Linked DNA regions of Oreochromis niloticus. The protein of the gene in region 1 purifies or fractionates together with the protein of each later gene. This does not show direct contact. Links are inferred from orthologs where the notes say so. Each region holds a gene or a part of one and is shown on either strand. Other genes may lie near its edges. The genes, in order: pop4, pop1, rpp40 and rpp38.

Region 1 (7,462 bases):
ACGTTTAAATCTGATGAAGCAGATTCATTACGGCACACGCAATTCACTTCCTGTCTTCAGCCATAACACATCTTCTTCCAGGCCACATTTATCTGTTTATGCTAATTAGAGACCATTTAACCAAATATTTATTTCATATCAAAGAAATATTTAATATCCATAATATTTATAGATGACACGCAGCTTAAATCTCCCTCTGTGAGCTTCCACAGCAGCTGGCTGTGTGTTACTGACTCACATTCATACAAACCGGAGCCCAACACACGGAGAGACTCACACGCTCCTAACCTTTCAGTTTGTCGTCTCTGGTGATGATCTTGAAGACGTGTTTGAACTCTTGCACCAGAATCCCAGACGTCCCCACATAAGACGGACACTTGGACCGCACCACTGCAGCGGGGACAAGAACAGACTGTCATGTTGCACGAGCCTGCACGCGTGTTAGCAGGTTTCAGTCTCTGCAGCAGCAGGAAAACCAGGGGCTGGGGTGGAGGTGGGCTGCAAAGAGGCTTGCAATAAGCAGCTCAAACATGCTGCTGCAGCGAGTAATTACTAAATCAATTTGAACTTGATGATTTCATGCTAAGCATCAAAACTGACTCGTTCTTTACTCTCCAAACAGCCCGACTGAAAAGAAGGAAACCAGGAGCTTCAGGTACCACAGCGTGCTCACAGAACTGCTGTTCATGCCGTTCATGCAGATGAACATTGAGAACAACAATGTTCCTGAGAAGACCCGTGTCCTCAGGAAAGCAGTGAGTTTAAAGACCACTTTCAGAGGAGGGCAGCACTAAAACCTGCAGCTGCTCTTACGTCCTCTCGAGGCTCCAAAGGTCAGCACCTCTGGGAGTCATGGCGCTTGGAGAGGAGCAGACTTACTGACATGAACGAGGCCAAAAGTCGTCTTAACCACAAACTTCATTTCAGACCAAAACCAGAAGGAAAAAGACAAAGCTGACTGGGAATGGCACAGGACGCCTGGAACACTGACTTTTTACATTCCTGAGTTTTCTGCTACAAATGGAGGAAGAAGAAGAAGAAGAAGAAGAAGAAGAAGACCTGTGAGGATGGCTCCGTGGAAATCCGCCTTCAGGAGCTTCTGCTGCACGACCTGTGGATTGCTGTGAAAACATCCGGATGACGACTTAGTGAGAGGCAGACAAACATCTGGACAAGCAGCTGTTGAGGGCGGCGATTTACCTCGTTGCTTTCAATCCCCCGCACAGGTCGATGATGTACTGTCTCCAGAGTTCATGCAGAGGAAGGAAAAGCTCGTATCTGCAGTGAGGAAGACAAAGACAGTGATGCAGGAGGAGGAGCAGGTGGAGGAACAGGTGGAGGGTTTCTCACCAACCTCTGGTGTTCAGGATTGATCTGGAAGACCTTCAGCTCCCTCTTCTGCCGCGCGTTCAGCCCTCGGGCCTTGGCGCTCTTCCTCCGCTCCTTCTTGGGCCGGCCGTAGCCGAGGATCACGGCTTTGTGGCTCAGCATGTTCTGCAGGTCATGGCGTCTGGGCTGCTGAATGCTGTTCTTCAGGAACGCCTCGGTGAAGGCCTTCGCTTTGAAGCTGCTCTGAGGCTGAAAACAATATTTGAAGAAGTGAATTCAGGTGATTATTAAAGAGTCATGAGCCAAACAGCGTGTTGGGCAGAGCCAGCAGAGTGAAGTCATCGCTCAGCACAAAACAGGAAGGACTTTTGCAGTTTGCTGACTTTTATGTAAAGGATGGTTACTGGCTGTCCCATTAAATCCTGAGGGCGGAGCTACAAAGCTGCAAAATCTCCTCGCTCTCTTCAGACGGCACAAAGTGCGGATGAAACACTTTCACATCAGTGGAAAACACCCGAGCGTCGGCTTACCTCAACACCAAGAACGTCCACCAGCTCACGAGGAATAGCGGCTCGAACCAGACCTTCTGTGGAGAGGACACAGACACGTCACTGAGGCGCTGAAGCACACAGAGGGGCGGGAACGACAGAGGACACGCCTCAAGGGCGGGGGGACACACACGTCCAAAGGGGGGGACGCATATAAAAATGTTTGACTAAAATAAAAAGATGAAGCTTCAGCGTCAGTTTGGCAGAACTTGCCCGCTGAGATGTGATGGATGCCCCCCCCTCACCTCACCTCACCTCACCGCACCGCTGCTCAAGCGTCTAACCCGCCCACTTTCTCACGATGCCGTGGGATTTTATTTTTATTGTGTTCTCAGTTTGGACAGGTGACCTGTGACCTGAATGAATCCACAGGTGGAGACATTCAGGAAACGTTCCTTTACCTTTTAAACACGCACTTTCCTGTGAAGGTGGAGCTCAGCTGTTCTCTAATGACCTTCCCTGCAGTTACCTAAAACAGGTTTAGTCCAATTTCGCTGTGACAGTCTAAGTTTAGCCTGTGATGTAATCACACCTGTCACACCTGGAGGCTGACGAGTGGATGATGGATGACACCAGGGAGGAACACACAGACCCTCCTCAGCTCCACACACAGGTGGAGGAGACCCTCCTGACCTCCACCTACCCCGCTGATCACAGCTGGAGTCTGGGTGGAGCAGTTTTAGCTTCATTAGAGAAAAACAAGAGTTTTGTTTTGATCCCGTAAATGTGAGGAGAGGGGGCGGGGCTTCTGTTGTCAGCACAGCTGCATTAAGGAGGAAATTGTGGATGTTGTTACAGATCTACACGTGCTACACAAAGGTGATGACGTCACATTAATAATCGACTACATGCGAGCCTCTCCTCAGGTAACACACCTGTGTGAGGGTACAGGGCCAAACACGCCCCCCCCCCGGAGACGCAACCGACCGGACAGAATCGAAGCTCGGACCGGAGGAAAGCCCCTCCTCCCACCGAGTCCGTGTTCAGGTGTGTGCTCACGCGCTCAGCTCACTCACCCTCCATGCTCGCAGACCTGAGCAGAACTCCTCTGACGATCCACGGAGAAACTCCACGACACGCGTGCTTTCAGCACTGCCCGGGTCACTTCCGCGTCGCTCTTCTTCGTCACGTTTTTAGAGGATGAAGCGGCCGCTGGCGCGCGCACAGCGTCCCCTGCAGCTCAACAGGAAAAGTTCTCCGACATTTTCTCCGGTTATCGCAGTTTTATTTATTTTATCTATTAAACTTTCATCAGTCGCTTTTTTATTGGACCAGAAACTTAAATATTTCCTGTTTTTTATCATCTCACTCGTTATTGTGAAAATATGACGTCACTGTCACAGTCTCTGTTTTACCTCTGCATCAGCTGCTTTTCCTGTTTCTTATACTTATTACTGTTTTTTTAAAGCTACGTTCGTCCTTCTCGTTGACTGATCTCCGTTTTTCTGCTGTGACAGTCTTAATCTTTGCTGTGACACTTCCACAGAAACCTGCAGCAGATCTTTGTGGAGCTGGCAGCTGTTGAGTTTGGAGCAGATGTTTGGGAGCTTCCGGGAGAGCCAGCAGGCTCAAACACTGATTTATTGCACTAAAACACTTGAAGGTGATTGCAGTCACACTGCAGTGAGTATGAACAGTTTCCCTTTGTGTTAGAAAAGTGTTTGCAGACAGTTTCATCTACAACAGCTCAAAGCGAGGGCTGTGCTGCCTCCGTACCCTCCCGTGGGTACTTGTTGTCCTTCTTTTTTACAGACACCCGTCTGAGGGACACTTCTGGTTTGCCTCCTGCTGTGAGACCTGAGGCCGGCTCGCTTCCGCACATTTGTTCTTCAGTCTCTGTGCGGACTGAAGCCCTCATCGTTCATACGCAAACAGATTTAATAAAGACAAAACTGTGCAGCAGAGGCTCTTTGTCCCAGTTTACTCTCACAGAGAGGGTGGAGGGGATGTTTAGAGTTGGGAAAGCTGCAGGTAGATCCTGACTGTGTTCAGATGCTTCCACCAGAAACTGATGCAGAAAAGACACAGAGCATCATTAGATCATTACAATAATAATTATTATTACTGAATAAGTAATCGCCATCGGCCCCTCTGGACAATGGCGTGATATGGCAGCCTCGCTTCTGTCAGTCTGTGGCTACAACTGTAGCTGCCTCCACCAGTGTGTGAATGTGAGAGTGAATGAATAGTGTAATTGTAAAGCGCTTTGAGGGTCTCGAAAAGCGCTATATAAATGCAATCCATTATTATTCTTATTCTTATTATTCTTATTATTATAAGTGTCATAAGATTCAGAAGACATAAAAATATTGAGCTGGACTTCATTAGGAGAGAGTGCACACTACAGCGAGCTGATGGAGTGAACGGAGACACGAGAGACGTCTTTGAGTTTCAGAAAAATATTTATTTTAAATCTGATTTTGGGACATTCATACAAAAAGTGAGTTTTTCCCTTTTTACCCTTGGAGGTAGCAGCCCTGCACCACTAAACTCTCAGAACACGCTCGTCTAAAGCCTCAGCACGCCCTGAACGCCACATACAGCAGAAAGCATGAACAGGCATGTCCGTGTGTTCCTCGGCGTGCTGCGTGTGTCCTACTGACCATCAGCAGGAAGTCTGACATCAGGTTTCATGGAAAGCTCTGCTACGCTCGGCCTCGGGCCAGAAACACAGCAGAGATCAGATCTGGTGTCATTCCAAGAAAAAAACGTTTTTTATTTCCTGACAGACGAAACAAAGTCTCCAACAGGTCACTGCTTTCAGGCGTTTCCTGGTTTCTGGACAGTTTGTCCTTCACATGAGGGGAAACCGAATGAAGTCGAATGAAGCGGAAACCTCTAAAGAACGACGCTGCAGCTGCAGCTCGGGCATCAGAAACCATCAGTGATGTCCTTCCTGTGCACACGGCAGCGTTTCTATGTTAAACGTCTCGATGAACCCGAGCGGCAGACGCCCAGCGGCGACTCAGCTCCAGCCGATCTGCAACATTTTCCTCTGATGTGTTTGTCGCTGCTGATGACCAGGTCAGAGCAGGAAGTGAGGAAAGCTTCAGCAGCTCAGGCTGCGAGTGTCCACAGACGACACATGCATCTATAAGAAAGTCAGGAAACACGGACCTGCGGGACGAGCCGGTCCCTGCAGCTCGTGTCTCTATCTGCAGATTAAGAGGATTTTAAATAAACGTGTTCCCCGCAGCCTGCAGTGCTGTTTATCCAGTTTGACAGATGTAAGAAAAAACCCGAGCACTGATGTTTCTGTCCACACGTGGGGACATGGCTTCCTGTCATCGTGGACAGGTTCACGCTTCCTCAGCAACGTGGGTGTTGGCACTATTTCTCCGCTTCCACTGAGCGAGTTCCATCACACTGAAGACAAGGCTGGAGTCACAGCAGAGATCAGCCCAGAAGTCATTACCGTCTGCTCGGCGTCTCGCAGTGATGGAGACATGTCTCCGTCTTATGTTTGGCTCAGAAAGAGTAAAAAGACGTGTTTTTGTGAAACCGCAGTGATCTGTGATGGATTTACTTTAACATCTCATCATCCTTACATGTGAAAGGTGTCAGCCTCTGGCTCCGCCCTGAACTCAATGAATGAACAGCGCTGCAGAGCAAATGTGCGTTTTTTAAACCTTTGTGTTTCCCTGACGTGACCTTTCTGACCTGAGCCTACGAGCGTCTGCGAGGATTTCACACCAAACAGTCTGAGGTAAATCTCAGAGTGAATGTGTGCCGGTCAGGCTGGTGTGTGCTGCGTAACGCGACTCTGTGAGATGGTTTCAGTCTGCAGTGAACGGAGACCCGTCTCCTGGAGGCTACAGCGCCGGTTTGATGAGACGGTGTTCTTGGATTTGATTGGCTGTTTGTCTGCAGAGCAAATCTGATGTACAGGACTCGCGCTGCCGTTGGATTTGTGGTTTCAGCTCTGCTCAGCGGCGCTCTGGTCGGCCAATTAAAAGCTGCAGCTGCTCACACTTCAGTTTGTTTTGGCAGCTTTTAAATGCGGCCGCAGCTTTTTCTGATTTCACAGTTTGATTTAAATGAACCCAGGTGTTTCTCAGAACAGGACTGGACTCCACTGCCCGGGTTTTACTTGGAAATACTCAGAAGTGTGATTCCCGCTGGACTCAGCAGACATTATGCATTTAATATTTTACAGGAACTTAAAAATGAACTAGCAGAAGAGCCTCGCCCTGCCCGCGCTGCGGCATGCGCCGCCGTCACCACTGCAGCTGTAAGTGTGGATGCTGGTGCAGCTGGCACACCAACTCCTCCTCTGTGGGCTCCTGGACCTGCTCCCTGCAGAGACACGGGACCCACGGGCAGGCAGTGAGCGTGGACTCAGGTTTGTCAAGTATAGCACTGAGATTCAATAAATAATAAATTCCCACCTGAATATGAGCTGAACCGAGGTTTCATATCTGATCCTCTCCACATCGATCACAGAGCAGCTGTGACTGCGGTCCCACTTGTAGATGAAGTTCTGTTAGGACAGAAAGACACACGTCAGACCCTCAAAGCAAAAAACTGGAAAAACCCAAACAAATGTTTACAAGACACAACAAAGCGGCCTGTGCACGGTGCACGGTGCACGGCGTGGGTGCAGATTACAGGGGGACACCTGCCCTCAGACATTTAGAAAGAATCAATCTGATCGTCACCAGGAGGAGAAGCTCGTTTAAAACAAACTACGACACCTCCTGCAGGCGTGTTTCTCCCGAACTCCGAAACAGGAATATTAACATTCCTGCTGCCGTGTAATCTGAGCAACCTGAAAAAGCGAGGATGTCCGACATTTCTGAGAAGGTTTTGCTTTCTTACAGAAGTGTCACAGTCGGGAACGCCGCAGGTTCCTGCTCATATACTTCAATGTCGTTATTATCAGGATGTCCTAAAAACTCTTTCTGATTAAGAAGAACGCCGAGTCGCCCCTGAGACTTTCAGCTGCCCCTCTCTCACTTCCTGCCGCCGGTTCAGGTTGCGTCCTTTTGTCTCCAGCTCGCCTCTTTCTGATGAAGATGAAGTTCAAACCTTGTCCTGCATCGATCGAGCGAGTCTCTCACCTCTAAGATGAGCGCCACGAACAAGTTGACCCACATGACCGACGAGATGAGCCACCAACACACGAAGTAGATCTTGGACCACCTGGGAAGCAAATCATCATCATCATCATCATCATCATCATCATCCTCGCAGTAACCACCATAATCAAGCCGCTGAGCTTAAACCGTGCGGTTTCTTACTCTGTGGTGTATCTGCTGTAGGCGTCGATGAAGGCCTGCCAGTTGTTGACGATCATGACGTCGTAGAGTAAAATGATGGCAGCCTGAGCAGAGAGACGGAGGACAGACGCTTCAGCACGTTTCTCAGTAATCGCCATTTTATCCCAGAGCCTCTAACTGAGCCGTGAGCAGGCTTACTGAAATAAAACTTTTTTTACACAGAAAAAGTCAAAGACGGTTCAGAGGAAGCTAGAAATGCAGTAAAATCAGAAAAAGTCCCAGAATCCTCAGAGATCCTCGATCAGATAAAAAATCCTCTAACCGAGGATCTGACGGTGCAGGTACACGAGGACAGAGACGCTGAAC
Region 2 (7,589 bases), on another chromosome or scaffold:
CTTTGTATATAAAACAAGGGTACGGAGGTGTTTGTGAGACAAAGTGCTAAAAATAAAATACGTCCAGAAATTTACCATTCTGTTGGCCACCTCTCTCAGTCTGTGAGGAAGCCGCTTGGTGTTGTGGCTCATGGCTCGTCTCCTCATGTGTTTGGGCAGAGCTTCAAACACATGGCTGCTGCTTGTGGTCTTTCTGACAGCTTTCAACATGGCGCTCACCTCTGCAGCCCTGGCCCTTGCAAAAGCTCCAGCTGAGTGAGGAAGGTAAAGATGGAAATGGAAGTCATTCACTGGACTGTAACTGTTCATGAATACCTTTACAATTCATTTCTTTCATGACTGTCTATGCTCTGAATTAAACTTAATATGTTAAAAATGTTGAGATTTTACCAGTGATGTATTTGGGCATCTCCTTGGTGTAGCCACCACCATCTTTATGATGTCCACGGACCCATCCGCTCTGGTGGGGAGTTTTCTTCTTCCTTTCTGTAGAGGGGTGCACCTCCGAAAGACCACCTTTGAGAGGATCAGCATTTTCTCCTGTCAAAAGTGAGAGTGAGTCATGTGTGGTCTGCCTCTACAAATGTGAGTAAACTCGCCCAACTTAATAAGGCATATAACATCTTTGTCCGCTTGTTTATTCCTTTTTCACATGAATCTCATCATAGAAACAACCTTAATGAGAAGGGATTCCTCCCTTGGAAAAAATATGTTCCCTATATTCACTGTATGAACAGCACATGACAGAGGAAGATGAGGAACTAGAAAGAAAAAAATTTGGAGGGTTTAAAAAAAAAAAAAAAAAAAAATCATAAGAACCAAGTGACAGACAGTCTAGAGGAAAGACTCACAAAACTTTGAGATACACCTACCAGAAGTGCAACAAAACAAAGCAACAATTATCGTTTTCTCTAAGGTCTCTTACACATGAAATAAATTCTTGCATAAAATTATTAATGTCAGTTGGAAAAAGCTAAGTTCAACAGGTGCTGCTAGACCTGAACTCAGGTTATTTCACAATAAATGCTCCGATTTGTCCCAAATTAAGTGTGACCATGGACAGGGGGGTCCTCTAGATGCCTGGAATGCCCTCTAGATGTTCTTTGAACAGAGGCGGTGCCTTACGACACCAACTGTCTGCCATCTATAATCCAGTTTTGAGATCCCTTCCCAGACACCTTAATGCCCACTCACATCCTTGGCCATCTGACCTCAGTAAGTCACATGACAGGGTGGGGCTAGGTTTCACAGTGGGTTCACCCGAACCTTGGCTGATTCTGACCCACACCCGTTTTCACACCTTGGCTCATGTGATTACGTAAAGGATTAATAGGGGGTCCATGACCCTCTTGGGGGACACTCCCATAGGGCTTAAAATCTGGGACTCTCCACCATTTGACCCTAGAACTGAAAAAGCTTCTCGGATGAAACATCTTCAAGAAACTTAAAGAAGTCCAGACGCTTTTCTTTCCAGGCTCCTTAGACTACGATGATCTGGATGACTGAGAGCCTTTGCTCAGGACTTTGTTGAAACACCTTTGGCTGCAATTACAGCCTCAAGTCTTTTTGGGTATGAGCTCTGCACACCTATTTTTGGGCAGTTTCTCTTATTCTTTTTTGCAGACCCCCAAGCTCCATCAGGCTGGATGGGGATCATCAGTTATGTTTGTTATCTTGGATGTGTGCTTAGGGTTGTTGTGCCGTTGGAAGATGAACCTTCAACCCAGTCTGAGGCTCAGAGCGCTCTGGAGCAGGTTAGCATAAAGGATGTCTCTGTACGCTGCTGCACATGTACAAACATCCCTCAGCATGATGCTGCCAACACCATGCTCCACTGTCGGGATGGTACTGGCCAGGTGATGAGTGGTGAATTTACCACAGGTGGGCTCCAATCAGCTATGAAAACAGTCGATCAGTTAAAACAGGATCCACTTGCGCTTGAATCTGTGCGTCATGGCAAAGGCCGTGAATACTCATCTACAAGTTATACCTTTGTCTTTAGTAAATTTGCAAGAATTTCAGGCAAGCTTCTTCACTTTGTCATTATCAGATCTTTCATGTAGAATTTAGTCCATTTTGGAATAAGGTACAACTAACATGTTTTTGTGAGTCTTCCATGACAACACGTGGAACAAGTGACACACTGTGAATACTTTCTGGACGCACTGCATGGCAAGTAGCAGAAATATGAGATATGACATATATCCATATACTTAAATAGGAAGAATGTTCGGTTGTGTTTGATATTTAATGTATAGCTATATCAGATACAGTCATGTATGACCTTATCTTTCAAGTATGTATGATACAGTCCAAGGAGAGCAAATCTGTTCAGTTCACCTTGGCTTTATTCTGCTTATGTGGTTTATATTATCTGCCGGTTTAACCATTTTGGCAGTAACTTTTTATACAAGAATCCATTTCATGCGTGGAAGACTGGAAGAAAAACATATGTGCGCTTTGTTCTGCATTACTGTAGGGGACTCGCTGGTCCTTCTTCCAGTTTAATATGTAATAGGTACGTGAAATAACCAGAGAAGGCTGAGTACCGGTGCCAGGGGCGTCTGCTCCATTCTGTGTGCTGCTCTCCACGTTAGATGAAGAAGATGGATACTGCACACTGGCGGGCTGATTTCTCATCTTCTTCTCCCGCATTTTGACTTTAGCCGCAGACATTTTCTGTAAGATACAATAACACGCTTGAGACCTCGCTATGCGAGCAGCTTATAACCCAAACAGTTGAATGCTGAGCTAAAACGCCAGCTTGCTAGCAACGTTACCTGGCGTAAAGTTGGGGAGTTGTTTTAACTAACAAAACCAAAGCTAAAACATTTCTATACCAAACGTCCAGAGGAATTACACTTCATAAGGTTACCTCAAGGTTCCCCAGCGTGATGTGTGTCAGAAACGCTGTTCCAGCCGCAGGGACCCTCTAGTTTTACGTTTAGCTACCATGTGAGGTTTCCTCATGCTGGTGCTGGTCTTGTTTGCTTCCGGATATGACGTGTTCAGGGGGCTTTGTAGAGTATTAGCGCGTCAACAAAAAAAATCCAATAAAAACCAAGGTACGTTTTCTTAAGATTATATGATATGTTGTCACTATTGTCTCTTGCTTGAGTTGTAAAATGTCTGAGGTGACCAGTTTTGGAACTAAAATGTGTAAAGGGAAACGTGTTTGCGCATGTAATATGTCTTTTACGGTAAAGTAGCTCTGACGTCCTTCTGACATCAGCGCGTTTTCTGCTTGCAGCCTTCTGTTGTACAACTTACTTTTTTCACTTGGGCCGATAGATTTCCAGTGAAATGGCTGCACTAATCAGGAGGATTATCAGCACAGCTAAAGCTCCTGCTGCTATCGGTCCGTACAGGTGAGAAGAGCTTTGAATCATTGCCCTAAGGTTAAAGTTACAGCTGGCACACACCTGCCGCAGCACCAACCTACATTACATTTGCACTGTTAATAGCACTGACTGCCAATTCACTGATGACAGACCACGACTTTTTTGCTTAATCGGGTAATACAGCGATACTGAGTTCACTGTTTCGTCCATAAGATTACTGCTGGGAGAGGTGGGATAGCATATGCCCTCAGAGCTTTTGGGAGCAAAGTTCAGACTTTTGGATGTTGCACTTTAAACTCTACACACACCACTAAAATGTTAAACAATGAAGATAAACAGCAAACTGTGCCCGCGGTTTTTCAATACTTTAGTCTGCAATTAATTTAATTTAATTCAATTTTATTTATATGACGTCAAGTCACGACACCAGTCGCCTCGAGTTTTTTTTTATATTGTTTGGTAAAGAGCCTAAAATAATACAGTGAAGACCCCAACAATCAGACGACCCTCCTGATCCAGCTCTAACTGAAGTTTAAGCCTAATCCTAAAAGCACAGAGGGTTTCTGTCACTCACATCTGCATAGAGAGCTGGTTCCACAGAAGAAGGGCCTGGAAGCTGAAACCTCTGCTTCCCATTCTGCTTTGAAATATCGTAGGAAACAGTTATACCAGTAGTGCTTTACTGGGGTGATATGGTACTTTGATACTATGATCAACTGAAGGCTTTTTAGGTAGTTTTTAGGACATCCTGATAATAATGAGTTACAATAGTCCCGCCTAGAAGAAATAAATGCATGAATTAGTTTTTCAGCATCACTCTGAGACAAGATGTTTCTAATTTTAGAGTTCTTGTACAAATGCAGGTAAGCAGTCCCACATATATGTTTAATAGGGGCACAGAAAAATGACTTCAAGACTCCTCACAGGTATAAAGAGAGTGTTCCCCTTATCGAGAAAAGAAACTGTGTATTTATTATTAAAAGACAGAAAGGGACATAAATGCAATTTTGTGAATCTCTTATTTAAAAGAAATATTTGAAAAAAAAACAATAACCCTCAGTTAAAAACCTACACATGGAGAGATAAGTGACGGAATAGTCAAGCAAACATACAACTTTTTTAACCTCACTTCCTTCATTATTAGTAAATCTTTATTTAGCAAAGATCACCAGAAAGGACAATAAGATTTAACACTCTGAACGAAATAAACCCAGAGTAGCTAAGCCTTTGTCCGTGCGTGTTTGTGTGTGTTTTCCAGCCAAGCAGTGGTGGTGGATCGAACCATGTATATTTCAGGACAGCTGGGAATGGACCCTGCCAGTGGACAGCTGGTGGAAGGTGGTGTTCAGGCTCAAACCAGACAGGTGACACTGGAATCCCCATCATCACTGATTCATTCCTTCATTCATTCATAAACATGGAGTACAGCGACACTTGAAAGCGATCCAGACATCAGTAGATGTTCCTAATTCCTAACTGCTGAGATAATTGCAATGGAGTTGAGCTCACAACCAAACAATTAAGAGACTGCTACAGTGTGAATACATGCAGTCCATTATTTAAAAGAAAATCTAGTGACAATGCTTTTAAAAATAGTGCCTTTTGAAAAAACCCACCAGTTTTCCTGCAGGGGGCCAATTCCTTAATTCTCTGTAATGCTGCAGAATAAATTTAAGACTGGTCAAATGCATCCTTCCTGCAGGATGAATGAGGATATGAAAGTCATCACAAAGTGAGAATTACTTTTGCACAATCATGTACATGACTTCTGTTTCTTCAGGCTCTGGTGAATATGGGTGAAATACTCAGGGCTGCTGGGTGTGGTTACACCAATGGTGAGAGAGCCTTGCCTTTCTTTGCATGTGCACAGAAGAATTCTTTCAACTTTTCAACCACAGACCTGATCATGCACTATTTTCTTTCTTTTCTTGTTATTTCCTGAAGTTGTCAAAACCACAGTGCTCTTAGCCGATATGAACGACTTCACCAGTGTCAATGACGTGTACAAACAATGTGAGTATCAATGATTTAGTTATTAATGTGTATCAGTATGTGTTTGGAGTTATCTGCTGCTGTTGGCCTTCATTTTGCAATACAACGTTAGCCACCAGGTGTCAGCACAGTCCAGACGACATACAGCGCTGCTGCATAACAAGCAGATTTTATAGACTCTTTATTTTTCCAGTAATGTATTCACCCAGAAGGCCTTTACAATAAATCAACCGGTGCTTGAATTTGCCTCTTCATATTCTAAATATGCTGTGGAAACTCCAGAGCAAGTTGAATTATGAAATAAATATTCAGAAACACAGGGGCAGAGTCCAAACACTCACAGGGAACGCTGACATTTGCTGAGTCACTTAGCAGAGTGAAACCTGAGCTTTCCCCACCAACAGATCTTAATCTTAATCTAAATGTCAGACGACAGACTGCCACATCTGACATTCCATAGATTAAATAAAAAACTTTAAGTCTATTCACAAAGCCCCCATATCCATTTCATTGTTTAAGTAGTATGGTAGAAAAGATAACTACACATTTTTCTAATGCCAGTTAATTCAGGTATTGCTCCTACAATTAACTGATCCAAGCACCCAGGTTGATGCACTCTGCGTTGAGTCCATTATCAGTGATTACATCAGTACAGTCAAAATCAGATTATTCTTTCAGTCCACCTCTGTCTTTAAAGGCCCCTCACAGGTGTTTTCACTTTATTCTGGCTGATTAGGCTTTTGCTATGGTTGAAGTTGGGTGCAGCTATGCTGCGGTTACATGAACCGACAAGAACAACAAAGGCATAAATTCTGCTGCCTGAGCCGAGGCCTGTACTACAAAACAGGAACTCATCATATCCAGGTAGCTTTGGGGTTAACCCCGAGTTTTCTGTACTACAAGTGTGGTTCACTTCTTACCAGGGTACATCGCCATGGTAACTTGTGCTTCCATATTAGAGGTCAACAGGTATGAAATCACCACCTACTGACCAGTCAAGTCTCCAGAAAATAGCGTCACCATTACTTGAAGATCCCTCAAACCTCTGTGCACCGAGAATAGGAGTGTCTAAAGTCTTTAATAGCATCAGTAATAAATACAGATATTTTTTTTAATTTAACCTTTTGGCTACAAACATGTTACAATTTTGTTCTTTAAGCATTAATATATAAATTGTACAGATGGAGTTTGTATTTAGTCTTTATTTTTTACTTTTTATTGTTAATTTCTTACTTTTGTGTGAATGCGCTCATACCTCAATCAGGAAACCATTGGTTAACTCAGTGAGTGGATAACCACCTTTGTGATCACAAGTGTTAGGTTCAGTGAATCCAGATAATAGAGAGATAACCAGAGATAACTTTGTAGCGCAGTGCCCAGCACAATCAAGTGCAGTCTGTAGTGACTCATTAATGTGTATTAATTATTGCTGCGGCTTTTCATTGTAATACATTTCCCATTGTGCATCTAATAATGTGGTGTTTTGTACTGATGAAATTTGTGTGAAACTGTATGATAATCATACACTGAATTTTATATATTTGATGTAAATTGTGTCTAATATGTGTGAACAGAGTTAAATTGCTGTGCAGATTAAAATTGTCACATTAAAAGATAAATGTTCTCTTGTTGATTCAGTGCAGGTCTATGTAAATCCAAAAGTGGAACTAATGAGACTAATAACTGCTTGTTCAAGCTGACTGATGATGAAGTAGAGCCCTAGTTTGTGTACTCGCACACCTGTGTTTCTCCTACTCTGACAGTCACTATAAAGAGCTTGCTTGTTTTATCAGTTGATATAAAGGCATGTCAGACAAGGGCAACACTATAAATGCCAGGTACCAGTAGTTAATTGGCTGCTTTGCAGTCCTGTAAGCTTCTGTAGATTCTATATGTGTGTCTGAGTCATTGAAAGTCTGTATGTGTAAATGTGTTGGTGGCCTAACTCAGCTGCTTTCTTTAGTCTTTAGCACCAACTTCCCAGCCAGGGCTGCCTATCAGGTCGCTGCTCTCCCTCGAGTGAGTACTTGACAAAGACCGTTTTTTTTATCCAGTTATTCTTTTGTGCTTTGAACCCAACTGAAAACCACAATTCTCACTGTGCTGATGCTGTCTCTTTCTCCAGGGTGGACTGGTTGAAATTGAAGCAATTGCTGTTTTGGGCCCTCTGACCGGCACTTCCTAACAAGTACATTAAACAAGCAAAAACTAGAAAGAGCTAAAACCATTGAAAAGTGTGAAACTGATGTAATTATA
Region 3 (7,725 bases), on another chromosome or scaffold:
TGAAGAAATTATGTTGGGACCCTGAAAAAAATTACTATGTACAATAATGGATTTCTATACATTTGACATCAGATGAAAACTTTGGTTGTATGACTCAGATAATTATTTGTTAAAAGCTAGAAATTTCAAATGAGAATAAGAAAGAAACGTATTTTTTGTGCCCCCCTTTCCCTGTTAATGCCCTACCTGGCCCCCTGGCAAAACTTTGCTAGACCCGCCCCTGCACAGTTACCAGCTGTCAGCTAGAAAAGGATCCTGGTGTTATTTGTCTCCCAGAAACAGTTCATAACTTCCCTTCAACCCTTCATCCCTCCAGCAAACATCAGCTGATACTAGAAATTAATATTAAATAAATTCTAACAACAGCTCATCAAGTTTAAAGGTGCTTCTGTTGTTTAACGCGACCTCCGCTGGTTTGCTCTTTCTGACGCAGAGAGAAAAGCCGATCAGCTGATCATTGATCATTGATCAGCTGATCGGGACAAATCGCGTTGCTTTTCACCTCAACTTTAAAGTTCGACCTCCTCGGCTGTAATTGGTCCAGCCCAGAGTCGATCATGACCAACTGGCCAATACACCACTATTCATTTATACCGTTGAAAAAATAAAAGAAATAAAACCCCATCGGCCCATAAAAACGAAAAATCACGAGCGGCCCACCGGGAAAATGCCCGGTATGTATGGGCTCAAAATGTGGTCATAAATATTTTGTACTTGTAAATCAGTTTTGTATGTGTAAAAAGAATTTGTGCGTGCGTAAAAAAGATTTGTATGTGCAAAAAAGATTTGTTTGTGTGTAAAAAAGATTTGTATGTGTAAAAAGAATTTGTGCGTGCGTAAAAAAGATTTGTATGTGTAAAAAAGATTTGTGTGTGGACTTAGCCAAAAACCCCCCTGCAAGTTACAAGTACGAATTTTGACCCTATTTTTCTTCCTGTCATCTGATTGGTCAATGTCATGTCAATCACAAATGTAACAATCCAATCAGAGAACAGATGGGTTTGGCTGTCGGAGGGGCACTTTTTTGAACTGCAGGTCCTTGAAGGGTAATACAGTTTGAAGCTGGAGGATCTCTATATAAATATCCGATAGCAGCTAGGTCCCCTAACTTTCAGCAGCTGTTGAAAGGATAAAGTTGTGGTATGTCAGTGGTTAGAAATACCATTATTACTTTAGGATTAGTTTAACACAAAGTCAGGGCTGACCCGGGACCATTGCTGTGAGTCACAGTGCGCAGCATAAAGGTCCTTTCACATCGGACGCAGGATGTGCTGCTAATGCTAACTGCTAACTAAAAGCAAAGGATCCAGAATTTGTTGCGCTGGCTGCTGAGCTCTGTGGGTTTTTGCAGCAGCTCTACCTGTACTAGATGCACCTGCTCCTTGTCGTTTCTGTCTCTGACTTTATGTCCTCTACAAGAGTTTGGTTTTTTTGCTAGTTCTTCAAATGTTCAATAAAAACATGTATGCTAATTCATAACGAAGAAAGCTTTGTAATGAAGACTGTCATTTCCAAAACACTGCCCCCCCGGTCCGCAGCGCTGTTGAAAAGGCTGTGGAAGTCCCTGTATAAAGCACGTAGACCTGTGACACAAAAATCACCAAACTCGGATGACCACAGACTGTTTTCCTTTGTGGTGATGAAGGAAAACGCTGGGTTGGCATGTAAAAGGGCATTTATTCCCTTCAAGGACCTGCAGTTCAAAAAAGTGCCCCTCCGACAGCCAAACCCATCTGTTCTCTGATTGGATTGTTACATTTGTGATTGACATGACATTGACCAATCAGATGACAGGAAGAAAAATAGGGTCAAAATTCGTACTTGTAACTTGCAGGGGGGTTTTTGGCTAAGTCCACACACAAATTCTTTTTACACACACAAATCTTTTTTACACATACAAATCTTTTTTTACACACGCACAAATCTTTTTTACGCACGCACAAATTCTTTTTACACATACAAAACTGATTTACAAGTACAAAATATTTATGACCACATTTTGAGCCCATAGGTATGCCCGATGGCCAGTCCAGCTATGGATGTGAGCAGGACAGACGGAACAATTGACGGACAAAGTGTGGACTTTATACCAGTTTTTAAATTGTGTTGATCGGCCACGTAAAACCAGAGTTATGATAAAAATATCTGCAATGTTTGGTTTTCTTCCTGAATACTATCGTTGTTTATATTTACTGCCGGAAGAAACGGTAAAAACGGCGTTTTATAAGGAAAACGCTCGAAAGCACTCTCAGCCTGTGAGCAAAAACAAAACCAAAAAACCCCCCACCCTTTCCTATTAGTCGAAAAAAGTACCGTGTCGACCAATCAAAAAAATGATATGGCAACGTGGCATCTAGTTGTTAAGAAACGGGGGGAAGTTTTAGGAGTGACGGCGGTGTTCTGAGATGTGAAAGATTTGAGAGGTTTGACCTCTCAGAGCAGCTCCCACGGGTGCTGGGTGGGGTTGAGGTCAGGACTGCAGATCCATACTCTCCACTCCCAAATCCTGAAGTTAGTCTCTGGTAAAGCCGCTCTGTGGGGGCGACTGCTGACTCACCTCTGAACACGCAATCCTTCCACCTCAATGCTCTGAACGGTCATCCACAGAACCACTCGCACACTGAGCCCTGCTGCTCCACCCGCATACTCAGCACTGCTCCACTCGTGACTGCTCTCCTTGCACTCGATCAAACACGACTTTAAATTTACATGAAGCCGTCCGTGAGCCCGACGCTGTGAAGCTAACGGCTCGGAGGTGAAAGGTCAGAGGTGAAGGGTGAGAGCGTCACCTGGTGGTTGAAGTGCAACTGCTGCACCTGCGCGCTGATCCGGTTCTTCGGGTCCAAGAAGCTGGAGCTCTCCGACACCAACAGAGTCCGCGGAGTCCGGTCCAGCTCCGAGGACGTCATCTTCTTCGGCTGCGAGCTAACTACACGTGTTTCCGGCCGCGGCTTTTCAGTTTAAAAGCTCCCGGTAGCGAACCGGAAGTGTTCGTTGTTTTTATTTTGGAGGATATTCCGGCTGTTGGGTGAATGGGGCGTTTGTGTGTGTGTGTGTGTGTGTGTGTGTGTGTGTGTGTGAGAGAGAGAGAGAGAGAGAGAGAGAGAGAGAGAGACGGATCGGTGGATGTGATGTGACGTCATCCTCCGACCCGCGCCGCTCTCCGTAGTCACGTGGTCGAACCCGGAAGTGGAGCAAACACGAGGAGCGGCGCAGCACAATCGGTCTCGAAGGTTCAGCGCTTACCTGTGTTTACCTGTGTGAGAGGCTTTGACGTCATGGCGGAGCCGGCGTGTGTACCTGGGCAGTTTGATGACGCGGAGGAGGACAGGTGAGTTCGTTCGTTTGTTTTGATGCTGCGGTGTAAACAGTGAGGCTGTACCTGGCTAAATCACCATGGTAACAGGTCACCTAAGGCCTGCACTCCATAGCAGGATTCAGTCTTGTCCAGGTAACCTCAGGTGTAACCTGGGTTTCTGTGCTGTGAAGCAGCAGCTGATGCTTTCATGTGTGAGCTTTTCTGTCATGTTTACTGACGTCACCTTACACACACACACACACACACTCTCAGTGTAAGTCTCCATGGCCGTGCTGTCGGTGTTTCAGTCCCATACACAAACCAGCCTCTCGCCATCAGGGCTTCTTGTTTCAGGTCAGGTAAAATTCAGCTCATCATATTTACTACATAAATACAATCAGCAGGCTTCAGGCCACAAGAACAGAACCACGACTTTAACCCACAGAGGAGCTCTGATAGCTCCACAGAGGGGACCAGTTCACAGCTCAGGCCTCTGCCCTCCTGACCATCGGGGCACCAGGGCTGCCTCCTCCCTTATCATTACATCTTGTTTGCTGTATGAGTAACTTTCACAGAGATTTCAGCAGCTCTGACTGTGTTTTTGTTGTTTGTTCTTTTGTTTTTTTGTTCTGCAGTGTCAGGTCAGTGGAGCTGACTCGCATCAGTGATGCACTGCCTTCATCAGAGCAGCAGGATTTCAGTGAGGAGGAGGATGTGGATGATGAGGATGAGTGGGCCTGGAGCTCAGCAGCAGATCTGGCCAAAAGATACAACCAGGCAGCGGGTGGCTTGCAGGTGAGACAGGAAGTGAGTAGAGGTCAAAGAACCAACAGAGTCTTCCAGGTCTAAAAGATGGAAGGATGGATGATGTATGTGTTGAACACCTGATTATGCAACAGAGGAGCTAACAGAGGGACTAACAGAGGAGCTTACAGAGGGACTAACAGAGGAGCTTACAGAGGGACTAACAGAGGAGCTAACAGAGGGACTAACAGAGGAGCTTACAGAGGGACTAACAGAGGAGCTAACAGAGGGACTAACAGAGGAGCTAACAGAGGGACTAACAGAGGAGCTAACCGAGGGGCTAACAGAGGAGGTAACAGAGGAGCCAACAGAGGGGCTAACAGAGGAGATAACAGAGGGACTAACAGAGGAGCTTACAGAGGGACTAACAGAGGAGCTTACAGAGGGACTAACAGAGGAGTTTACAGAGGGACTAACAGAGGAGCTAACCGAGGGGCTAACAGAGGAGGTAACAGAGGAGCCAACAGAGGGGCTAACAGAGGAGATAACAGAGGGACTAACAGAGGAGCTAACAGAGGGACTAACAGAGGAGCTAACAGAGGGACTAACAGAGGAGCTAACCGAGGGGCTAACAGAGGAGGTAACAGAGGAGCCAACAGAGGGCTAACAGAGGAGATAACAGAGGGACTAACAGAGGAGCTTACAGAGGGACTAACAGAGGAGCTTACAGAGGGACTAACAGAGGAGCTTACAGAGGGACTAACAGAGGAGCTAACCGAGGGGCTAACAGAGGAGGTAACAGAGGAGCCAACAGAGGGGCTAACAGAGGAGATAACAGAGGGACTAACAGAGGAGCTAACAGAGGGACTAACAGAGGAGCTTACAGAGGGACTAACAGAGGAGCTTACAGAGGGACTAACAGAGGAGCTTACAGAGGGACTAACAGAGGAGCTTACAGAGGGACTAACAGAGGAGCTTACAGAGGGACTAACAGAGGAGCTAACCGAGGGGCTAACAGAGGAGGTAACAGAGGAGCCAACAGGGGGGCTAACAGAGGAGATAACAGGGGGGCTAACAGAGGAGGTAACAGAGGGACTAACAGGGGGGCTAACAGAGGAGATAACAGGGGGGCTAACAGAGGAGCTAACAGAGGAGATAACAGGGGGGCTAACAGAGGAGATAACAGGGGGGCTAACAGAGGAGCTAACAGAGGAGATAACAGAGGAGGTAACACAGAGACTAACAGAGGAGGTAACAGAAGGGCTAACGGAGGAGATGAGTAGTTCTTTGGAGGACTATTTCTGTGGAAAGCTAACTGAACCTTGTGCTACATTAACATAATTATAAAATGATAGATAGATGGGAATACAAACTTTAGTCTATCTTTGTTTATTCTAATTGTTCTCAGCTTGAATCAGAATAAAAAGCATAGAAATAAAAACAAGTCTCTATTTCCTGTTGCCTCCATTGTAGAAGGTGACTTTGTCTCCAAACAGGAACGTGTACAGTCAGAGGTTAACGTGGATTCAGCAGGTGGAGGAACCTTTAAATCAGCTGTAATGTCTGAGTGTGGGGAAAAGACTCAGTCATTTCCACTGAGAGCTCCAGTAGAGTTTCTTAGTGTGCAGGCTGTGATCAGCTGACCTGCTGCTCTCTGTGGATGTACACACCTGGATTCATCCAGATGTGAGCAGATGTAAAACTCATATTCTTGAGTCATATTTCTTTCCATTTTAATTCATTACTTAAACATTCAATTAATTATTTAATGGGCTATTTAATTGTTTTTGGTACTCCTGGCCCTCCATACACTTGCTGTAAGCTAACTGTGAGCATGAACCCACAGCCACTGTGCAGCAGTCACAGACTCTACTGTAAACCAATCACAGTGCAGCAAACTCACCTGTTCATCCTGCAGAGGATTCTCATGCAGCCTTTAAATAACACAGTCAGTCTGCCTCAGTTTGATTAGCAGCAGGTTTATGAACAAACACAATGTGACAGATTTAAAACCATGAGGACTTCCATGTGAGCTTTAAATGAGCGTCCTTCCTTTAACTCTAAGCTGTCTTCTTCCTCTCCTGTCCTTCCTTCTTATCTGTCTCCATCTCTGAGTGAACTTAGCTCTCTGTCTTTCTCTCTGTCAAATACAGCAGCTGAACCTTTAGCTGCAACACACTGAGACAAACTGCACAGTTTGTGTTTGCTGATGTTTGTTGAGCTGATAAGTGTCAGCTAATAGAAATGAGCTGACAGCATTGCTCCTCTTCTGTAGTGCTAGCTTGATGCCGAAGAGTGTGTGTGTGAGAGAGAGACGTTATAAACTGAGTCATTTTTGTGCACAGAGTCTCCGTCTGCAGTCCAACAGACAGAATCCGTCCAAGAAGCTGCCATCATCAACACCATCTGACAAAGCTTTGAGGAAATATGAACACAAGATCAACCTGGGTACCCCACACACACACACACACACACACACACACACAGCTTTTTAGTTTCGTGAAGCTCTTAAACGACATCGATGTGACGTTTCATCCGCCTTTCAGAACGACCTGTCTGCTTACAGCTGATTGCCAGTATTGATCATATTGATCATATTGATTGATCACCTGCACCCAACGGCCTGCTATAAGCCGCTGTGGAGGTCTGGAGCCATTGAAGCATCCTCCAGTCTGCGTCTCTGGTCCAACGTTGGTGTAGGCTTTTTAGTTATGATCAGGAATCGATTGCAGTGATTGATCGTCTTTGTTTTCTGGCAGACAAACTGAACTACGCAGACTCGGTGATTAATAAAGTGACGACGATGCAGAAACAGAGGGAAGCCGACACGTGAGTCTGAGAGCAGCTGATGATGCTGACATCAGCCGGGGTGTTCCTGCTGTGACTCACATCCTGATTGGCTTCTCTCCACAGGTACAGAGTGAAGGACAAATCAGATCGAGCCACAGTAGAACAGGTGAGTTCCTGTAGCGGCTCTGGCCTACAATCTAGAGCACCTTAAGGCGACTGTTGTTGTGATGTGACGCTTCCACTTTTACTGAGTTCTTTAGGAAAGAACTGCCAGGAGGTTAAAGATAATAAGGTGAAGATCAATAAGCAGCTGATGCTTTCTTCTTCTTCAGGTGTTAGACCCTCGAACTCGAATGATTCTCTTTAAGATGCTGAGTCGAGGAATTATCTCCGAGATCAACGGCTGCATCAGCACCGGGAAGGAGGTCAGACCATTCAGTAATCGCTCGATCAATACGCTGAATGGTTACACATGCGCTGATCAATACTCGTCCCTCTCAGGCAAACGTTTATCACGCCAGCACAGCAGCTGGGGACAGCAGAGCCATCAAGATCTACAAGACGTCCATCCTGCTGTTCAAAGACCGCGACAAGTACGTCAGCGGGGAGTTCAGGTGAGTCCGGCACCACAGAAGAACAGCGCTCAGGTACACCGCGAGCACTTCCTGTTGGCTCCAGGTACAGCAGGAGGCTCCTTCAGGAACAGTTTGTCCTGTTGTTCTGCAGGTTCCGTCATGGGTACTGTAAAGGAAACCCCCGGAAGATGGTGAGAACATGGGCAGAGAAGGAGATGAGGAACCTCATCAGGTCAGAACCTTTGTAACCACACCCAGAACCAAACAGAACTGGTTCTGACTGGTAGAACCCAGTAAAGCCTGTGTTGAGCGTTAGAG
Region 4 (7,280 bases), on another chromosome or scaffold:
GGTTAGCACTGTTGCCTCACAGCAAAAAGGTCCTCAGTTCAATTCCACCATCAGGCTGGGATCTTTTCTGTGTTCCTTCCAGGTACTTTGGCTTCCTCACACAGGATAAGCAGAAGAGAATGGATAGATGGATACTCGGAATTCTTTATCAAGAACACAGGGTACTCTCTGCGTGCTCGGGTTTCTCCCACAGTCCAAAGACATGCAGTTAGTGGGGGTTAGGTTAACTGGGGATTCTAAATTGCTCATAGGTATAAATGACTGTCACTGTTTCAGCTCTGCGACATGCTGCTATACCCTGCCTCTCACCCTATGTCTGCTGGAATAAGGTTCAGCTCTCCTGCGACTCTAAAAACTTGAGAAGAGATCCATGTAGTTAGTCCATGTTAGTTATTGATAGTTTTATTTATTCATACTAACTTTATCAGAAATAAGTAATGGAGCTGATATTTTGTTTGGGATGTGTGGTGTTATGTCTGTGTCTGCAGAGGCAATGTCATTTCCTGCAAAGGATTAATAAAGGATCTTTCTATTGATCTTAATCTTTCCCTTCCAGCCATCGATCTTCTGCTTATCCGGGTCACGGGACCAGCAGTCTAAGCAGAGGAACTCAGACCTCCCTCTCCCAGGAGGGGATCAAGACATTCCCAATTCAACCAAGTGATGTAATCTCCCAGTACCTTTGTCCATCTATAGATATTTACAGCAAATTAAAATTGGAAAATGATCATTAAGTTGGTTCATTTGTGCCTACCTGAGGTCTAAAATTCTGCTTACATTTCAACATAAATAGACTACTACTTTCTACTTAGTACCTGAGCAATCCAGCACAACAGCTCCAAGATGTTGGTGGTCTAATGGCAGTCCTCTGTATTATATAGAGGAAATATATTTCATTCGAGGGTAAAATATTACAAGCTCCATTTAAAACAAACAGCACTATCAAAATACCGGGAAAAACTTAATTGCCTTTATAAAAAACAATGTGTGCAGACCGGCTTTAATTGTGGACAAAATGAAATTCAAACTTCAGTCAGATCATATTCAATTGTATGAATATGCATGAAACCATATGCAATGCTACTAATCTGCTGAAACAATGAATGCAAACCTGAAGGTCTGAGGCTTCCCCAGATAAAAATACTTGGCAGAAAAGTCTAAACCTTGTTCCCAAAAACCTTTTTTTCTCTTTAAGCTTCCAGAAATTCTTTATATAAACTAATCACATAAGTTATGTCCAGACTGAGGCTGCAAGCACTGTTCAAAAACCCAAAAATAAACAACACTGGAAACTCCTGAGCTAAACAAACAGTCCTTAAAGTTTCTCTTTCACTTTACAGCTATTTCTTCGGCTTCCCTTTCTTCTTCTTTGCAGGGTTAGCAACGATTCTCTTCACCTGGAGCGGCTGCAGAGTGCAGGAGGAGGGAGACTCTGACACCCCCTCATATTCACTTTCCAGTTTCCTTTTTTGTCCCCTTCTTTCACCACCTTCCTCCTCCTCCATGGCAACAGGTTCTTCAGGTTTAGCACCTTGCAGCCATGCCATGTCCAGTGAAGGCACTCTGGGCTTAATGGCATCGACAGTGTCGGTAAACACCCCATTGTCACTGGAGGAGCACCGTCTGAACCCCAGGGCGAGCACGCTTTTCAGCCCCAGCGGCTCCGACACGCTCTGGCTCAGGCGAGGCACCTGGCAGGCCGGCACTCCTCTGGTGGCGCTCAGAGCGATCAGGTGATTGGTCATGTGTTTCGGTTTGACAGACTTGCACACGAGCAGCAGTCTGAGTTCGTTTCTCTCCAGAGCCTTGGTCACCTCGTTGATGCCGATGGCCAGCTGCCGTCTGGCTGCCACATCTGTCCAGCCGTTTTTGGAGGAATCGCTCTCCTGGGGAACAGGTTCCGGTGCGACATCAGGTTTTTTGCCTTTCTTTTTCCTCCATATGCGAAACCCTTTCACTTCTTTTTTTTCCAGACCCATGGAGATCAACTTGTCCTTAAGAGTTTTCAGGATGAAGTGCATGTCCTCTTGGGGGAGCGGGCTCCATTTTGAGGCAAAGGGTGAGGTGAAGGAGGTCTTGGCTGGAGTCTGCTTTTTGATTTCCTTTTTAGTCGGCTTTCCGGGAGCTGCCATGACTGTTTGAAGCATAAAACAACCGACACTGTAAGAAAAGAGAGGAAAAACTGCTTTAGAGTCTGGCATACAATCACTGGACACTTTATTAAGTACACCGTTCACCTGACTGGTAGTGAAGGCAATCAGATGAGTTCACTGTACCTAACCTCCACAATCACCAGATCTCAATCAGATAGAGCACCTTTGTGATCTGGTGGAACAGGAGATTCACATCGTCAACACGTATCACATGTTGATCCCCCAAGAATCTTTCATGAAGAAAAAAAAAGCAGTTCTTAAGGCAAATGGGAGTCCAACCCAGCACAAGGAAGATGTACCTAATGAACTGGCCAGTAAATGTAAATCATTGCTGATGTTAAATTAAAGCACAGAAATGCCAAAGATGAGTTAAACAGCTTATTCACATATAAAAAACGCATACCAGAATCTTTTTTTATTTCCTTGTTTGTTTAAAAGGTAAAAAAGTAAAAGCAGAAAAGAGTAAACACGACTAAGAGGAATAAAGGACATTTTAAGATGAGTGGATAAAATAGAGAAAAACAAGATCACATTTGTTAAAAATTTGTATCCAAAAATCAGACTAAACAAACAAACAACGCCATTATAAACTAATACGATTAGCAACGTTTTTATTTCGCATTTCTTTAACCCACATGGAAATGTCGTTAAATTTCAGATCTTCTTCGGCTCTAATAAAAAACCTTTCGCTTCTGCAGAAGCATTAAAAACAAACACAGCCGCCGTTACCTGTGGTTAAAGCAGATAACGCATTTCTCCTCGTCTTCTTTACAGCTTCAGCCCAGCTGCATGAGAGACACACAGGGCGCTGCCATTTTGTTTCAATTTAAATAACTTTATTTAAAAAGCTCCACAGCGCCGAACAGCGGTGAAAGGGCGACATGACAGTCAAATCATCAAAGAGTCAGCGAAGGCAGTGAAAGTGGAGTTAAAGAGGCGGCGAACACTGTTATCTGACACTGTAGAGTCTGATGTAGGGAAAAGTGCATGAAGTCTCCTTCATGAATCAGCTGGAGTAAAAGTGCACGAGCACAGGAAATATAAAGGAGGCCTTTCTCAATCAATTAATCAATTAGTTTAAATACCCTCAAAGGTGATCAATAAACACCAAGCAATAATATGAATAAAAATGAAACATATAAAATCAAAGGTTTATTTATTCAAATACTTTATCGTTAAGGGAAATGTGTTTCGTATAAACTGAATGTGCACGAACCAAGTAAATTTCATTTGAGCAGACTCCATTAATGGTAACACTTCACACTGTACTTGTGTAACAAAAAATCAAATCTAATAATAATAATACAAAAATTTATATGTAATGAAATTAGTCAGCATTTTGGGCAGATTTTTAAAATAATATTATTGCACGGAGTTCTGTGTAGGAAGCATATTGTGGTAGAGGTTGTATTAATCCTGCTGAACTGATATGATTATATCTCCCTAAATTTATTACACTGTTGCAAATGACACGTCATAAAGTCTCAGTAGTCAGTGGACTAGGTGCCATAGTCCACTATATCTCCCCATTTTATTAAAGTCCGTGTGCGTGTGTGTGTCGCTGTGAGTGAGGGTGACAGGCAGCCAATCAGCACCTCTGCAGCTGTCTGCTCCCTCCCCTACAAGCCTCTGCTTTACTCTCAATAGTGCATCGATCAGCTGTGCTGCAATTACTGCTGCTTAAAACCCTTCAGGGCAGGACATTCATCTGCGCTCCCAGCCTTTACCTTTACCAAGATGACCCTCCAGGTAAAATCCTGCGTTTCTTTGCTCTTTTATTATTGTTATTATTATTTATTAGATGCTACATTGTCGCGATGAACCGAACAGCGCATGCCGTCTTCTGGCCGTATGCAGTCATCCATCTTTGACGGCGTGTGAAGGGTGGATGAAGGAAAGTCGTGCCTAAACGCGTTAATGCTCTCGGCTCAGTGGTCCTGATGCTGCTCTTAGAATTTAGAGATTTCCCGATGAAAATTCACTAGATTTAGAGTTTGTCTCTGTGAGAAATGAGAACATGTGGAGGTAAACTGGATCTATATACAAACATCCGCTTTTTGACCAATCGTCAGCATTCAGAGCTGGATCATTATATATTTCAGCGTCACCTCAGTAAAGAGTTAAAAGGTTTTTAGGTGTTTGTGCATATAAAAAATGGTTCCTGTGGTCTATAATTATCAGTTCTGCTGTGTCCCAGATCCTTTGAAAAGCAGATTATTTGAGTAGGCACACAGGCTCTGGTCTCATATAAAAGCCCATTGTTTATCTCCAGCTTGTGCAACAATCAGTTTCCCAGGACTGCCCCGTGCCTAGAATACCACACTCACATTTCTTATTCAGTGCTTGTAACTCATTAATATGCACACTCTCGTATTCGATGTAATTACTTTACATTCCTGCTGGACTTTATTGCAAAGAGAAGAAATCCTCCAGTCCAGTGTTTTCCCATCACAGACACACTGCTTATGTTTTCTGAAAATTTAATCGTAAACATAAAGAGTGTTCATGTCACCTGCAGGCAGAATTTGACAAGGCAGCAGATGATGTGAAGAAGGTGAAGGCCAAGCCCACAGACGAGGAGCTGCTGTTCCTGTATGCCCTTTATAAACAGGCGGTTGTTGGAGACATTAACACTGGTAGGACCCGCTACAGAGAAACTGAATCACTCCCATAAAGAGTTCACTAAGTTCAGATTTTTTCTCCTCCTCTCTGTGTGCTTTCACAACTGTAGAGAGACCGGGAATGCTGGACCTAAAAGGAAAGGCCAAGTGGGACGCCTGGGAGTCGAGGAAAGGTAACGAGTTAGGAAAGCTTGTGATTGTTAAATTTGTCCATGAGAACTAAACACTTTAACTGAAGGTGCTGGAAAAGTGATTTATTAGCAGGTTATAGATCATACAAGGATATATGAGACAGATATTTTTTCCCAAGTTCACAGCTGGAACAGTTTTTGGTATTTTTCTGTACTAAATAAGGTAAAAGAACTGGTTCTTTTACACTACGAGCCACACACACACATTTACACTTCACTGGATGCAAGGATGCATGCAGACTGGTGGGGCTCCACCTCCTGGTTGCCTGCAGAGTAGCCTATTTAGTACTCAAAACCTGCTGAGTCCACAGGTGTAAATCATGAGAATGAATTTCGTAAAACATGTTTGTGGAGCATGAGCTCAACTCCGAACATGGAGGAATCTGCTCCAAATTAGGTGTGTTCAGTGTCAAATAAGACTCACAGGAGGTAACTTTTAGGAAATTAGAAGTTAGTCATTGTCAAAATATCCAAATATTTTCACCACTTAGTTTCATCCAACATCACAGGAACTTTTTAATTTTACTCGCATATTCATTGATTTTTTTAAATTTATTTTTTAAAGTAAAATTACCCTCAAAAAATGTTGAGTTAAGGCATTTGCAGGTCAACTCCATGATTCAGCTGCACACGAGCTGTTTCTGCAAGTCTGTGTTTAGTGTTGAGTACTTGAGAAAAAGGTGACTACACGCAGATTTTGTTGTAATAGGTTCATTTTTAGTGACATCACACTTGTGCAAAGAGTCAAAGGGTGGTGTTGAGCACCACTCATTTCTTTGTATTTTGCTTCCAATGACTCAGACAATGTAAATGATCTTGAGCAATAGCTCTCCGGGCTTTCTGAAGGTCTTTCAAAGTTTGCCTTTGGACATTGTTTGCTCCTTTAGCTAATTTTCAGTCCAGTCCTTGTACCTGACTATTTTCAGAGGAACTGTTTTATTTGTTAAGCCATTTAACACTGAATCATTCAAGGAATAAATAGTAACCTAACTCGAGCTAATGAACGAGAGCTTCGTCTACACATAACAGACAACTGATCAAAGTACCATTTTTAATCGTTATCTTTAGGCCCTTTGTTACTAGCAGCCTGTTGCACAAACACATCATTTGTTCACATGTCTTTTGCTGAAGCTATGAAAAAGGCCAAAGATAACACAGTTTGACAGGAATAATTTCATATTTTTACACCAACAACGTCATTCCCCAAAAAACTAATCTGTGACCTAATCTGGCAACAATGATCCCAAAAACACTGCACAAATATACATACAGATTTTTAAAAATCCAGTGTTTTAAAGTTTTATATCTTTACTTAAATGGTAAATGACCTGTATTTGTATAGCGCTTTACTTAATCCCTAAGGACCCCAAAGCGCTTTACACTACATTCAGTCATTCACACACTGGTGATGGCAAGCTAAATTGTAGCTACAGCTGCCCTGGGGCGCACTGACAGAGGCGAGGCTGCTGGACACTGGCGCCACCGGGCCCTCTGACTACCACCAGTAGGCAGTGGGTGAAGTGTCTTGCCCAAGGACACAACGACCGAGACTGTACGAGCCGGGGCTCAAACCGGCAACCTTCCGATTACAAGACGAACTGCCAACTCTTGAGCTACTATCGCCCACGTTACCATAACAAAAACACAACCCAGATGCCAGCTTCCATGGTGGTGATTTATCGGAACCTGTTGAGCTCATTAAAGGAAGCGTTCTGTGCTGCCAGGGGAAATACTTTTTTTTTTTTTTTAGATTTATTACCAATAAAAAGACCTGATCTTTTCTAAGCATCTTCATCATGAGAATTTCTCCCATAGTTTAACCAGCTTTTCAGTGCTATGGGTGAAAGGCTCTCTAAGCATGTATACTAATAGGAGAAAACTCCTTTAAGACATTATTATTTAAGTCCAAATCACTCGTAATTTGAACTCTTTCAGGAATGTCCAAGGAGGACGCCATGTCGGCCTACATCGCAAAGGCTAAAGAAGTCATCAGCAAGTACGGGGTGTGAGACGTCCATGAACTGAAGAGGCAGCAGCGATGAAAACAGACTACTAATTCAAACTACTAAATCAAAGCTGCTCTTTACTTAAAAGAGCAGCTTTGCTTCCAGAGGCAATAATTCTGCACAATAATGTGATTTTTAAAAAAATGTCTTTCTATCCTGATTTTTTAAATTACATAGCTCAAATGATTTATGCATTTTAATGATATCTATGCAGTCTTTAACATATTAATCTTTCTATATGTACTGCATACTGGACTTAGATTTGTAGCTTGAATCAAAACAGGACAATTTAAATGTTGGCAAATGCGA

Evidence for each region.
Region 2: the proteins of pop4 (region 1) and pop1 purify together in Homo sapiens (affinity purification with mass spectrometry; 5 studies listed by BioGRID and IntAct, counting the BioPlex papers as one, with this or other methods). This does not show direct contact. The link is inferred for Oreochromis niloticus from reciprocal best matches to the Homo sapiens genes POP4 and POP1.
Region 3: the proteins of pop4 (region 1) and rpp40 purify together in Homo sapiens (affinity purification with mass spectrometry; 3 studies listed by BioGRID and IntAct, counting the BioPlex papers as one, with this or other methods). This does not show direct contact. The link is inferred for Oreochromis niloticus from reciprocal best matches to the Homo sapiens genes POP4 and RPP40.
Region 4: the proteins of pop4 (region 1) and rpp38 purify together in Homo sapiens (affinity purification with mass spectrometry; 4 studies listed by BioGRID and IntAct, counting the BioPlex papers as one, with this or other methods). This does not show direct contact. The link is inferred for Oreochromis niloticus from reciprocal best matches to the Homo sapiens genes POP4 and RPP38.

What each region holds. Positions count from the first base shown.
Region 1 is NC_031965.2:39,311,487-39,318,948, reverse strand, and holds the start of pop4 (ribonuclease P protein subunit p29), read right to left. Parts: upstream 3,040-7,462; 5' UTR 2,901-3,039; coding exon 2,894-2,900; intron 2,865-2,893; exon of another isoform or gene 1,922-2,864; intron 1,916-1,921; coding exon 1,860-1,915; intron 1,579-1,859; coding exon 1,355-1,578; intron 1,279-1,354; coding exon 1,201-1,278; intron 1,122-1,200; coding exon 1,060-1,121; intron 391-1,059; coding exon 289-390; intron 1-288. UniProt on the Homo sapiens protein: Component of ribonuclease P, a ribonucleoprotein complex that generates mature tRNA molecules by cleaving their 5'-ends.
Region 2 is NC_031976.2:6,409,840-6,417,428, forward strand, and holds the start of pop1 (ribonucleases P/MRP protein subunit POP1), read right to left. Parts: upstream 3,012-7,589; 5' UTR 2,876-3,011; intron 2,680-2,875; 5' UTR 2,677-2,679; coding exon 2,550-2,676; intron 2,173-2,549; coding exon of another isoform or gene 2,170-2,172; exon of another isoform or gene 1,949-2,169; intron 541-1,948; coding exon 391-540; intron 252-390; coding exon 76-251; intron 1-75. Other genes in the region: 2-iminobutanoate/2-iminopropanoate deaminase, read left to right, coding at 2,170-2,172, 3,292-3,368, 4,600-4,705, 5,122-5,176, 5,286-5,354, 7,297-7,352, 7,459-7,518. UniProt on the Homo sapiens protein: Component of ribonuclease P, a ribonucleoprotein complex that generates mature tRNA molecules by cleaving their 5'-ends. Also a component of the MRP ribonuclease complex, which cleaves pre-rRNA sequences.
Region 3 is NC_031982.2:34,664,928-34,672,652, forward strand, and holds the start of rpp40 (ribonuclease P protein subunit p40), read right to left. Parts: upstream 3,050-7,725; 5' UTR 2,910-3,049; coding exon 2,790-2,909; intron 1-2,789. Other genes in the region: riok1 (serine/threonine-protein kinase RIO1), read left to right, coding at 3,279-3,331, 3,934-4,105, 6,388-6,490, 6,802-6,871, 6,956-6,998, 7,165-7,257, 7,334-7,446, 7,559-7,639. UniProt on the Homo sapiens protein: Component of ribonuclease P, a ribonucleoprotein complex that generates mature tRNA molecules by cleaving their 5'-ends. Also a component of the MRP ribonuclease complex, which cleaves pre-rRNA sequences.
Region 4 is NC_031976.2:20,280,639-20,287,918, forward strand, and holds rpp38 (ribonuclease P protein subunit p38), read right to left. Parts: upstream 3,031-7,280; 5' UTR 2,883-3,030; intron 2,326-2,882; exon of another isoform or gene 2,238-2,325; intron 2,161-2,237; 5' UTR 2,148-2,160; coding exon 1,341-2,147; 3' UTR 435-1,340; downstream 1-434. Other genes in the region: peroxisomal carnitine O-octanoyltransferase, read left to right, coding at 3,891-3,902, 4,672-4,789, 4,885-4,947. UniProt on the Homo sapiens protein: Component of ribonuclease P, a ribonucleoprotein complex that generates mature tRNA molecules by cleaving their 5'-ends. Also a component of the MRP ribonuclease complex, which cleaves pre-rRNA sequences.